3 linked regions of the Canis lupus familiaris genome follow. The protein of the gene in region 3 interacts with the protein of the main gene of each other region in a pairwise test. Links are inferred from orthologs where the notes say so. Each region holds a gene or a part of one and is shown on either strand. Other genes may lie near its edges. The genes, in order: MIIP, PLSCR3 and STK16.

What was found.
Region 1: the proteins of STK16 (region 3) and MIIP interact in binary tests that used the Homo sapiens proteins (3 or more experiments, as listed by UniProt). The two-hybrid records come from large-scale screens. The link is inferred for Canis lupus familiaris from reciprocal best matches to the Homo sapiens genes STK16 and MIIP.
Region 2: the proteins of STK16 (region 3) and PLSCR3 interact in binary tests that used the Homo sapiens proteins (3 or more experiments, as listed by UniProt). The two-hybrid records come from large-scale screens. The link is inferred for Canis lupus familiaris from reciprocal best matches to the Homo sapiens genes STK16 and PLSCR3.

The regions. Positions count from the first base shown.
Region 1 is NC_049223.1:83,744,594-83,747,844, reverse strand, and holds the end of MIIP (migration and invasion-inhibitory protein), read left to right. Parts: intron 1-317; coding exon 318-426; intron 427-535; coding exon 536-588; intron 589-1,098; coding exon 1,099-1,228; intron 1,229-1,373; coding exon 1,374-1,470; intron 1,471-2,157; coding exon 2,158-2,292; intron 2,293-2,573; coding exon 2,574-2,615; 3' UTR 2,616-2,692; downstream 2,693-3,251.
Region 2 is NC_049226.1:32,535,394-32,539,035, reverse strand, and holds part of PLSCR3 (phospholipid scramblase 3), read left to right. Parts: intron 1-750; exon of another isoform or gene 751-1,210; intron 1,211-1,426; exon of another isoform or gene 1,427-1,430; 5' UTR 1,431-1,600; coding exon 1,601-1,607; intron 1,608-1,908; coding exon 1,909-2,150; intron 2,151-2,242; coding exon 2,243-2,285; intron 2,286-2,393; coding exon 2,394-2,614; intron 2,615-2,885; coding exon 2,886-3,047; intron 3,048-3,642. UniProt on the Homo sapiens protein: Catalyzes calcium-induced ATP-independent rapid bidirectional and non-specific movement of the phospholipids (lipid scrambling or lipid flip-flop) between the inner and outer membrane of the mitochondria.
Region 3 is NC_049258.1:25,668,335-25,672,076, forward strand, and holds the start of STK16 (serine/threonine-protein kinase 16), read left to right. Parts: upstream 1-1,272; 5' UTR 1,273-1,367; intron 1,368-1,669; 5' UTR 1,670-1,773; coding exon 1,774-1,859; intron 1,860-2,448; exon of another isoform or gene 2,449-2,463; coding exon of another isoform or gene 2,464-2,472; intron 2,473-2,667; coding exon 2,668-2,887; intron 2,888-3,151; coding exon 3,152-3,285; intron 3,286-3,459; coding exon 3,460-3,580; intron 3,581-3,707; coding exon 3,708-3,742. UniProt on the Homo sapiens protein: Membrane-associated protein kinase that phosphorylates on serine and threonine residues. In vitro substrates include DRG1, ENO1 and EIF4EBP1. Also autophosphorylates. May be involved in secretory vesicle trafficking or intracellular signaling.

The sequences.
Region 1 (3,251 bases), on a different chromosome or scaffold from region 3:
ATGTCGTGCCTCAGGTTTCTTAGGAGCCTGGGTCACCCCCACCGCCTCCTCGTGAGGCCCGCGAGGCCGACCCATCTAGTTCCCTCCTCCCGCCTGGCTCCGTCCATCCATGCTTGTTCGCTGTGCTTGTTCGCTGCGCGGACGGTGGGACTGGGACGGCGTGAGGGCCGACTCGCTCGGTGCGGAGCTGGCGGTCGCGGTGCGTGGGGCGCCCCCGCTGGTGTGTCGTGTGAGGCAGCGGGGCAGAGTCGCCCCAAGTGCCGGCCCCTGTCCCCGGCCCACAGCCACACAGCAGCGCTGCCGCTCGCCCCCTCCAGGGTCGCTGGACAACAGCTCCCCCGTCACCAGCAAGCCCGATGCCTTCTTCTCGGAGCTGAAGGATTTCCGGGAGGCCAACAAGGAGGAGTGTATTCACAGCGACCCGGAGTGAGCAGGGGTGGCGAGGGGTGGCGAGGGGTGGGAGGGCGGCTCACCCCTCCCCCCCCCCCCCCCCCCCCCCCCCCGCCCGCTGGCTCTCAGCCCTCTCCCCTCGCAGGCCCCGGCCCCCAGGCGTGCGGGAGAGCCGTGGCGTGGAGGAAGAGCATGCATGTGAGTGGGTGTTCTCACCAGGCGCCCAGGGAGGCGGCGGGGGGCTGGGGGGCCTGGGGTCCAGGTGCAGTGAGGCAGACCTTGGGGGCTGCGGGGCAGCTGAGGCCAGACCCTGCAGGACCAGGCCGGCCCTGTCGCCCACCTCCCCCGCCCCGGCCGCCTCTTTCCTTCGCGCCTGTCTTTGCTTCGAGCCCGCACGTGTAGCATGTGTGCACACGTGTGTGGATGGCGCATGTGTGCTGTGTGTGATGACTGCTACAGGTGTGCGTTTGTGTTCACTAGTGTGGTATGAAGCTGTGTCACGCCTGCACACGGGTGTGAAAATGCCCGTTTGTGTGAGGGCACCAGCCTGTGTCCCGCTGGTTTCGTCACGTGAGCACACGTGCACGTCTGTGTCGTGTATGTGTGTGTGTGTGTACACCCGTACGTGTCTGTGCGTGTGGGGTGGGCAGCAGGGGCTCGGGGAGGTGGGGGCCCAGCTGAGGGGAGCCGCTGCTCACGGCCCCGCAGGCGTGTACTGTTACCACGTCAACCGACGCCTGTTTCTGGTGCCTTCCGACCCCGGTGTCCCCTGCCGCCTGTGCAAGACCCCCCGGGACCAGAGGGGCCCTGAGACCCTGCTGGAGCCCGCGCATGTCAGGTGAGTGGCCAGAGCAGGCAGGTACTGGGGGCAGCACAGGGGCGGCCGAGGAGGGGAGCCAGCCTGAGGCCGGGCCGGTCCTGAGGGGTGCAGGGCGGCCTGGGACGCTGGCCCCACAGTGCCTCCTCTCTGCCCCCTCCCGCAGGGTGAGCATCCCGCTGTCCGTCCTCCACCCTCCACACCAGTACCGCATCCACCGGCGAAAGAGCTTCGACGCCTCCGACACGCTGGCCCTGCCCCGGGTGAGCGGCCACATGGGGCCTGGGTGGAGCTGGGCTCGGAGGCAGGTCCCCAGATGGATTCTGAGGCCCAGGGAGGGCCGAGACTGTCCCAGGGCCACACAGCGAGGCCGGGCCGCTCCCATCGCCTGCTGGTCTGCTTGCTCGCCCGCCCCTCATACGTGGGCCGCCTTCCTGGAGCTCCCGTGTGCCGTGCGCGGCCTCTCGGAGGCTTGGCTCACGGAGCCCTCACGGCAACCAGGAGCGCAGGTCCTGGAGCCTCCCGCGGTTCAAATAAGGAGACCGAGGCAGAGGGAGGTGCCTGGGCTCAGGTCAGCAGGTGGCAGAGCAGAGATGTGAGCAGGCCCTTCCAGTTCCTGGTGCCTCCCATGGAAACGTTCTTCGTGTCTCCTGGCCAGGGTGGGGGTCGGTGGGGAGGAGAAGGGGTGCTCATCTGTAAAATGGGTACAGCCTACGGTCCTCAGACCAGTGGGGTGAGTCGGGCCCTTCAGTGAATCAGTACTTCTGGGCCATGGGGCACGTGGTGCCCGGGAAGTGCTCAGCCACTGTCCATGGACATCCCCCTCCTGTCTCAGGTCGGGGCCAGGGCCTGGGGTCCCCCAGTGTGTGGACACAGCCCCCTCCCCGGGGTGCGCCCCCTGGAAGGGAGCCCTGCCACAGGCCAGACGCCTTAACCCTTGCTGTCCACAGCACTGCTTGCTGGGCTGGGACATTTTCCCTCCCAAATCCGAGAAGAGCTCAGCCCCCAGGAGCCTGGACCTCTGGTCCTGTGTGTCCTCCGAGGCCCAGCACCGGAAGCTGCCCGCTGCCAGCCCTTCCTACCTGGTATGGTCAGGGTGCCCCAGGACGGACATGCCTTGGAGCAGGCCTGGGGTCTGCAGAGCCCCCGGGGGCGGGAGGGGGCAGGGGGAGCAGAGCCAGGAGCGTCTCTGCAGGGGCCCGTCCTCCCCGCCCACGGCACCTCCCTTCAGGCTCTTCTGCTCCCTGCCAGCTGCCCCACCCCACCCGGGAAGGTGACCTGGACTCTACAATCCAGATGGGGATGAGGGGGGAACGGAGGGTGACCATCCAGGCCCTGCCAACACGGGTCCCACCCTGCACCCCAGTGTGGTCAGGACCCCAGGCCTGCGCCCCCTGTGAAGCCCTGAGGACTGGCCATTTAGAGGAGGATGGAGCCGCGGCCACCAGCTGTAACCCGTCTTCTCTGTTAGGGCATCCGAGGAGGGAGCCCTGCCCGGCCTCAGCTGCAGGTGCACTTAAGCTCCGGCCTCCTAGGTTGGGCAGGTGGAGGGACCCAGGCCCTTGTCCCTCTTGGACAGAGGTGGGGATGTGACATGTTTGTAAATAAAGCCCATCCTCGTCTGTAGCTCCAGGTTGCCCTGTGTGCTGGGTCTGTCCTGCTGTTGCCCTCGGTGTCCGGGAGGTACCCTGGCAGCGCCTGCCCACCCCGGGGACAGGGGGTCTGACGCTGGGTGGGGTAGATCCAATGCCTGGGTGTACCTGCAGCTTCCAGCCCTGGGTGGGTGGCCTCTGGGGTGGGGGCTCGGGGCCTCAGGCTGGCCCCTGCAGACAGCGAGCAGTGAGTGAGTTCTCCCCCCTGGTTCCTAAAGCTGGGGTCCAGGGCCCCAGGCTCCTCTGAGGCCCTCTCTAGCCAAGCCCCCGGAGCCACAGGTGGTCGGGGCTGTGGTCGGGGCCGGGCGGGGAGCCAGAGGGTGGGCGGGCCGAGAGCCCAGATCAACGGCCAGTGTCTTTCTCCTGAAATCCTGCTTTTGAGGATAAAAGTG
Region 2 (3,642 bases), on a different chromosome or scaffold from region 3:
AAACAAGTTCTCTATTATTGTCTAGGTGTCCTCCAGGTCTGCCACTTGTGTCTGTACTAATAACACAGCATCCTCTCCTCCTGGCTACCATCAACGACCCAGACCATCGTTCTTCACCTTGCAGCTTAAATGGTTTTTCTAAAACACAAATTTGGCCTTCTTTTTGGGTCTTAAAATCATCTTTCGGGGCAGCCCCGGTGGCTCAGCAGTTTAGCGCCGCCTTCAGCCCAGGGCATGATCTTGGAGATCCGGGATCCAGTCCCACCTCAGGCTCCCTGCATGGAGCCTGCTTCTCCCTCTGCCTGTGTCTCTGCCTCTCTTTGTGTGTGTCTCTCATGAATAAATAAAATATTTTTAAAAAGAAATCCTCTTTCAGTGGGCTCCCTGTGGACCCGGGCGCCAAGTCCCAGCTCCCACCTGCCTTGCGCACACATGGGCTGGCCTCCGTCTGTAAGGTCCTCTCTTGCCCCTCGGCCTGTGGGTCCCAAGGCTCAGGACCGCCTCACCCCTGCGGGCCTCTGCTCGGGACCCAGCAGAAGCGACTCCTCGGGGAGAAGGCTTTCCTGCTAGCCGCGCTCCTCCTCTGCACCCCCCCCAGCCCCACTGCGCGCACACTCATTGTTGACACCGTTTGGCGGCCTGTCACCCACGTGGCCGGGGGCTCCTGCGGGCAGTCCTGTCGTTGCAAGGTGCCCGCGTGGGTGACTGCGACGTCACGGAGAGGAGCCCGCCAGGCAATCCCCCAGGGGACAGAGGGGGAGCTGGGGGCCAGCCCTGGAAGCCAATGAGGGAGAGGAAGGGTGTTCCGCTGCGTCAGCGGGGCCCCGCACCGCCCTCGAGAGGAGGAGCCTGGGGTCCAGCGCAGCGCCAGCTGCCCTCGCTTCCCACCCAGGGACACGGAGGCACTCTGTTCCCGGGGACCTGGCGGGGTGGCAGGGCCAGGTCTCCGTCGGCGGCCCGCCCCAGGCCAGCTCCCCCTGATCCCCCGCGGCGGAGCAGAGGCGGCGGGGACGCAGACCGCACCCGACAGCCGGCGGTCAGCGGTCAGCGGCCCCGCAGAGCCGGCTCCCTTTCTGCGCAGGCGCGCCACCCAGGCCGGGAGGGGCGGGGCTCGGACGGGTCGAGGGGCGGGGTCAGACCCCGGGCCCGCCTCCTCCAGCTCCTGTGAGCCACCGAGTGCTGGGCACCCCAGCTATCCCAGGGGCTTCAGGTGAGCGGGGGAGGAGGGGGCGCCGAAGGGTCAGGAGGCCTCCCTGGAGGTCCGGCCGTCGGTCAGGCCGCGGGTCCACCTGCCTTGCCGTCTGTCAACCGCCGCCTCCACGGAAAATGGGAGAACAAAGGGAGGGGGCGGTTCTGGGGCCCCCGAGGGAATCCAGGGTCCCAGGTACCCCGCCCTGCACGCTGACACTTTCGGTTTCTTCCTGAGTCAGAGGCGCCGCCCGAGGGACCCTGGGCCGGCGCGGGCGCAGCTGCCTGTCCGCGTCTGCCTGTCCGTCTTTGTGTCTGCCTCTGTGTCTGTCTGGCTGTGCCCGAACTTGCTTCTACCTCTAAAACTGAGCGTCTGGGACCCCGCCATCCCGTCATCTCTCGCCCCTCTCCCATGGCAGGTAAGTGGGCGCCGCGCTGAGAGTCCCCGTTATCCCCCCCACAGACTGGGGAGCTGGGCATCGAACACATCCTCCGGGAATGTGCTCCGACTGGCTGCGTGGGGCCCCTCCCTTCCTCCCGGGAGCCGCCGCCCTGCTCCCCCGCCCCATCTTGCTCAGCCTCTGCCCATCGCATTCTCCCCCTTCCCTGCAGCCCCGCAGCCCGGCCATGGCCTAAGGGGCGGCGGGGGGGTGGGGGGAGGATGAGGCGGGGGGGGGGGGGGAAGCTTTCTGATCCCCTCTCTTCCCCTCCCCACCACAGGCTACTTGCCCCCCAAAGGGCACGCCCCTTCACCCCCGCCTCCCTACCCTGTGACCGCTGGGTACCCGGAGCCGGCGCTGCACCCCGGGCCTGGGCAGGTGCCTGTGCCTGTGCCCACCCATGTACCTGCTCCCGCGCCCGGCTTCTCTCTCTTCCCCTCGCCCGGCCCCGCAGCCCCAGGGCCTGCTGCCCCGTTCTTGCCATTGCCGGGGGTGCCTTCTGGCCTCGAATTCCTGGTGCAGGTGAGTGGGAAGGAGGGGACGGGAGCGACGAGGAGGGGACCCTGGCGTCCAGGCCAGCCAGCTAACATTGGTGCCGACCCGACTCTTTCCAGATTGATCAGATCTTGATTCACCAGAAGGCCGAGCGAGTGGAAAGTGAGTGGAAGGAGGAGTAGGTTGGGCCTCATCCCGGGGGCAGAGAGAGAGGGCCCTCGGGCAGGTGCCTGTTCCTGTGCCTGAGCCTCGGCCTGTCACCCCTGGCAGCGCTCCTGGGCTGGGAGACCTGTAACCGGTATGAACTGCGCTCTGGGGCAGGACAGCCCCTGGGTCAGGCAGCGGAGGAGAGCAGCTGCTGTGCGCGTCTGTGCTGCGGCGCCCGGCGGCCCCTGCGTGTGCGCGTGGTGGACCCCGGGGATCGTGAGGTGCTGCGCCTGCTCCGCCCCCTGCACTGTGGCTGCGGCTGCTGCCCCTGCGGCCTCCAGGAGGTGGGCGGGGAGGGCTGGGGCCAGGGAGGGGTTTGGGTGGGCGGCAGGCCGTGATGGGGGGGCCCTTGGGTGGAATCTGGACCACCCAGAATGAGGCGCGGGGTCCAGTGTGGCCCCGGTGGGCGCAGGCAGATGGAACGCGAGGTCAGCGAGGGGAGGTGACAAGGAATGGGAGGTCTTGGCAGGGCAGACGGGTGACAGAGCCCGAGCGGTGAGAGCTTGGGCCAGGGTGCCCTGGCTCGGCAGTCACCCTGTCTGCCTCCCACTCCAGATGGAAGTCCAGGCTCCACCCGGCACTACCATTGGCCACGTGCTACAGACCTGGCATCCCTTCCTCCCCAAGTTCTCCATCCAGGATGCTGACCGCCGCACGGTGCTGCGTGTGGTGGGGCCCTGCTGGACCTGTGGCTGTGGCTCAGACACCAACTTTGAGGTATTGTGAATAAGGGGAGATTCCTGGGACCTTCATCAACCAAGACGGTGGCTTCTGTGAATGAGACAGGATGGCCAACACTAAGGTCCCTGAGGTCATCAGTCTGAATCCACTGTGACTCCTGTCCTGTTTCCAGTGTTCCTTCATTCAGAAAGGGTTGCCCCTGTGGTCTTAAGAAAGGAAAGCTTGGTAAAGAGGGTTTCATCGTAAGGACCAAAGCTGATTGTTACCCTATGTGGAAGGGGGCAAAAAACCTAGGCTTGATTCAGGGCAAGTCCGCTGTGGGCTGGACCATGTGGCTGCTATGCATGACTTTGTGAGCCTCAGACTCTGGAGTAAACAACAATTTTAATTGCTAACATCCTGTGGCTTGCCCTTCCAACCTATGATCCAGTGATGTATATCCTTGTCAACATGCATTCTATCACCAGCCTGGAGCACCCAAGCGGTGACAGTTTCAGGGTGAGGCCGGGGAAGCGCTTTCATTTCTAGAAGACAAAGGCATCTCACAGACACTCGGGTTCTTTAAGGGACCATCAGCAGTGCAGATAAGGGCAAAATAACAGGTGGAAGCCCATGAACTTTCCGAGGCTTT
Region 3 (3,742 bases):
GCAATTAGCCTGGACTTGTCCACCCGCGCTACTCTACTAGTTTGTAAGATCCTCTACATCTTGAATCCGCTTCATCAGCATCACCTGGGAGCTTGTTAGAAATGCAGAGTCTCAGGTCCTACCTCAGACCTATTAGAATCAGAATTTGGATTTTAACAAGATTCCCAGGCGATCCGAAAGGCATTCAAGATTGAGAAGCACTGTGGTACTAAACTGAGCTCCCTGAGGGTGAAGAGTACCTTGTCCATCTTGCATCCTCAGCTTCTAGCACGGGACTCGGTACATAGCAGGTTAAATCTAGATGAATGAATGTCGGAACCAGGGGGCTAAAACAGGTTCGGAATCAATCTTCCCAGTGGTGTGAAAGTAGGAACCAAGTTATAAATGGGATTTTTTTTTTTTTCTCCTAGTGGCCCTGCTACAGCAAAAGAGACCACCTCAGCCATTCTGTCTTCTTTGGATGTCCACCGCTCTTCAATTTATCCCTGCCCTGCCTCAGCGAGAGCTGTCAAGAACAACTACCTGGGGCCAAGGCTTGGGAATTTATGAATTTCCATGACTCCTGCCTTCACAATCCCAAGCCTGGGATGTAAGGACCAGGATAAGAAAAATAGAATCATAATAAAAATAACAGCAACTTCTATTTATTGACACCAAGGCTGTGTCAGATAGTGTGCTAAGCACTTTACATCTCACTTCATCTTCAAAAAGCTCCGTGCAGTTGGTAATTATCACTCCCATTTTACCCATGAGGGAATTGAGAGGCAGAAATTTTAAATAGTCTGCTCAAGGTCACGCAGCTAGTTTAGCAGAGCTGGGAGCTGCAGCCTGGCCTCCCCGTACGGGCACCTAACCTTAGGTACTGTTAGAGCTTGTTTACAACTGGGGAAACCGAGGCTCTGAGAGGTTAAGTCGTCCAAGGTCACGCAGCTAGTAAGCTCTTAACCACTGAAACTAGGGTAGTGGGATGCAGGCCTGAGCCCCGAAGGGTGCACCGATCGGCGCTGTGGGGGTCCAGGCCGCCGGCCCCCGCCCGGCCCCCGCCCCTCGGGGCTGGACTGCAGCTTCCTACCTCCGGCATTGGGAGACGGGGGGCCTGGGGGGCCTCGGGCCGAGCCCGGCTTTGCTCCCCTTGGGCGCGGGTGCCTGCGTCCTGCCCACTACTGAAGGCCTGGTGTGGAACCCTCACCGGGTCCCGGGACCCGTGCTCCCCCGCGCCTTAGCCCGCCCCCGGCCTCTCAGCTCCGCGCCCCCACATCCTCCGGATGCCCTGCGGTTGCTAGGATACCGCGGGCCGTTACGCCGGCGCGGCCTGATGACGTAGACGCTCCTTCCGGTCCGCGGCGCTCGTCTCCGGCCGGAGCCAGGTCAGTGGGGAGTCGGGGCCGGCCCTCCCGGGGCTCTGCGCGCCGAGGCCGGGGCGGGCCCCGCCGGGTGGGCCCGGGCCTCGCCCCCACGCTCCGCGGCTGCCGAGGCGGCCCGACGGCGAGGACGCGGCCTGGGCGTCGCGGCGTGGCCCGAGGCTCCAGGGCACCCGACCTCGGCCGTGCCCGAGCCGGCGTCGCCAAGGCTCGTTTCCTCTGCGTTCCGAGGCCCGGGCGCCAGCTCTGCACGTCGGCACTTCGGGGGTCGTGCCTGGCCCACGACCCTGCCGTCCTTTGCCTTCCAGCATGATCCGCGGGGCCCCCAGCGCGTCGCCTGGAAGAGCCCCCTCAGCCCGCACGCGGCCGTCGGCAGCCCCGGACCGCCCCTGAGGAGGATGACTGAGGCGCTATGGGCCACGCGCTGTGTGTCTGCTCCCGGGGAACCGTCCTCATTGACAACAAGCGCTACCTCTTCATCCAGAAACTGGGGGAGGGGTGAGTGTTGAAATCGCCTAGCCAGCCCCCAGGGTTCTGGTGAGTGAAGGACAGCAGTCTGCACGTGATAGGGCCTCAGGAGGTTCATCCTTGTAAAGCATCCTTTAGCTCCCCTGACAGAGCCTAGCAACCCGAATGCCAAGAAAGTGGATTCTGGAGCCAGGCCTCCTGGCTCCACCTGGTGTGACCTTAAGCCGTGGTTTCATCATCTGCTTAATGGAGATAATCATCTTTTTTTTTTTTTTTTTAAGATTTTATTTATTAGAGACACACACACACGCACATGCACAGGCAGAGGGAGAAGCAGGCCCCATGCAGGGAGCCCGATGCGGGACTCGATCCTGGGTCTCCAGGGTCAGGCCCTGGGCTGAAGGCTGCGCTAAACCGCTGGGCCACCCGGGCTGCCCTGGAGATAATTATCTTTTGTCGCTGATGGAGTTGTGAGGATTAAATGAGATAGTGCATAGAAATCATCTCACCAAAAAGAGAAAAAATAATAATAATAATCTCACCCAGGGCCCGGTTCACAGCACTTGACAGATGTTGACTGTTACTTACTCATGTAACATTTCCGGAGCATTTGTCACGTGCAGAGCTGTGCATTATGACCAAGGTACCTCAAAGATTGCTGTGTTCCTACCCTTGAGCTCAAAGTGTAAAATCTTCAGACTTCTCCTGAAGCCACGTCTTGGGAGGGTTTCTGCTGACTGGGAAAGACACCCCCTCCCCTCCCCACCCAGGGAGTTCCTCTGGGTCCAAGCAGTGTGGGAGATGACCGTGGTCCTTCACTGACCCCTTTGGCCCACAGTGGGTTCAGCTATGTGGACCTAGTGGAGGGGTTACATGATGGACACTTCTACGCCCTGAAGCGGATCCTGTGTCACGAGCAGCAGGATCGGGAGGAAGCCCAACGAGAAGCAGACATGCATCGCCTCTTCCATCACCCCAACATCCTCCGCCTTGTGGCTTATTGTCTGAGGGAGCGGGGCACTAAACATGAGGCCTGGCTGCTGCTACCCTTCTTCAAGGTCAGAAAGTCTCCTGGCAATGGAGGGGCTTGCAACAGAGTCATCTACCGAGGGCTGTGTGAGTAGCCAAGCACGTTAGGAAGCAGAGACCATGTCCTGTGTTGGACCGCTTCAGATTTGGGGTTTAGGGGAACCCAAGTGGGACTGTGAGGTGTGTAGTGTGTGTGGTGAAAGAGCTGCTAGGCTGTGACACAGGGAAGGGATCAGGCTGAGGGAGCAGAGACCCAGAAAACCTGTCCAACCGTGGGGAAACTTGTGTTGCAGAGGGGTACGCTGTGGAACGAGATAGAAAGGCTGAAGGACAAAGGCAACTTCTTGACTGAAGATCAAATCCTTCAGCTGCTGCTGGGTATCTGCAGAGGCCTTGAGGCCATTCATGCCAGAGGTTATGCCCACAGGTCAGTGGGAGGGCCCAGTGTGCTTATGGGGCAGAAAGAAAGAGCCTCACCAAAAGGATTGAGTGGTCTCTGCTCTCCTCCCAAGGAACAGTCCCCATGATTCTTTTGCCCCCAGGGATTCTAGTCTCCCTATCCAGGGATGTTCATGGGCCATTTATTTCCACTTTCCTGCAGGGACCTGAAGCCCACCAATATCTTGCTTGGAGATGAGGGGCAGCCAGTTTTAATGGACTTGGGTTCCATGAATCAAGCTTGCATCCATGTGGAAGGCTCCCGCCAGGCTCTGGCCCTGCAGGTAAAAGAGTGTCCAGGTTCCTTTGCCCTCCTGTTCCCCATCCTCAGCCTTTCCTGTTGCATGCCCCAGTTTGGTCACATGACTATGACCTGTGCCTCTCTTTTGAGCTATGGGGCCACTCTTCCAGGACTGGGCAGCCCAGCGATGCACCATCTCCTACCG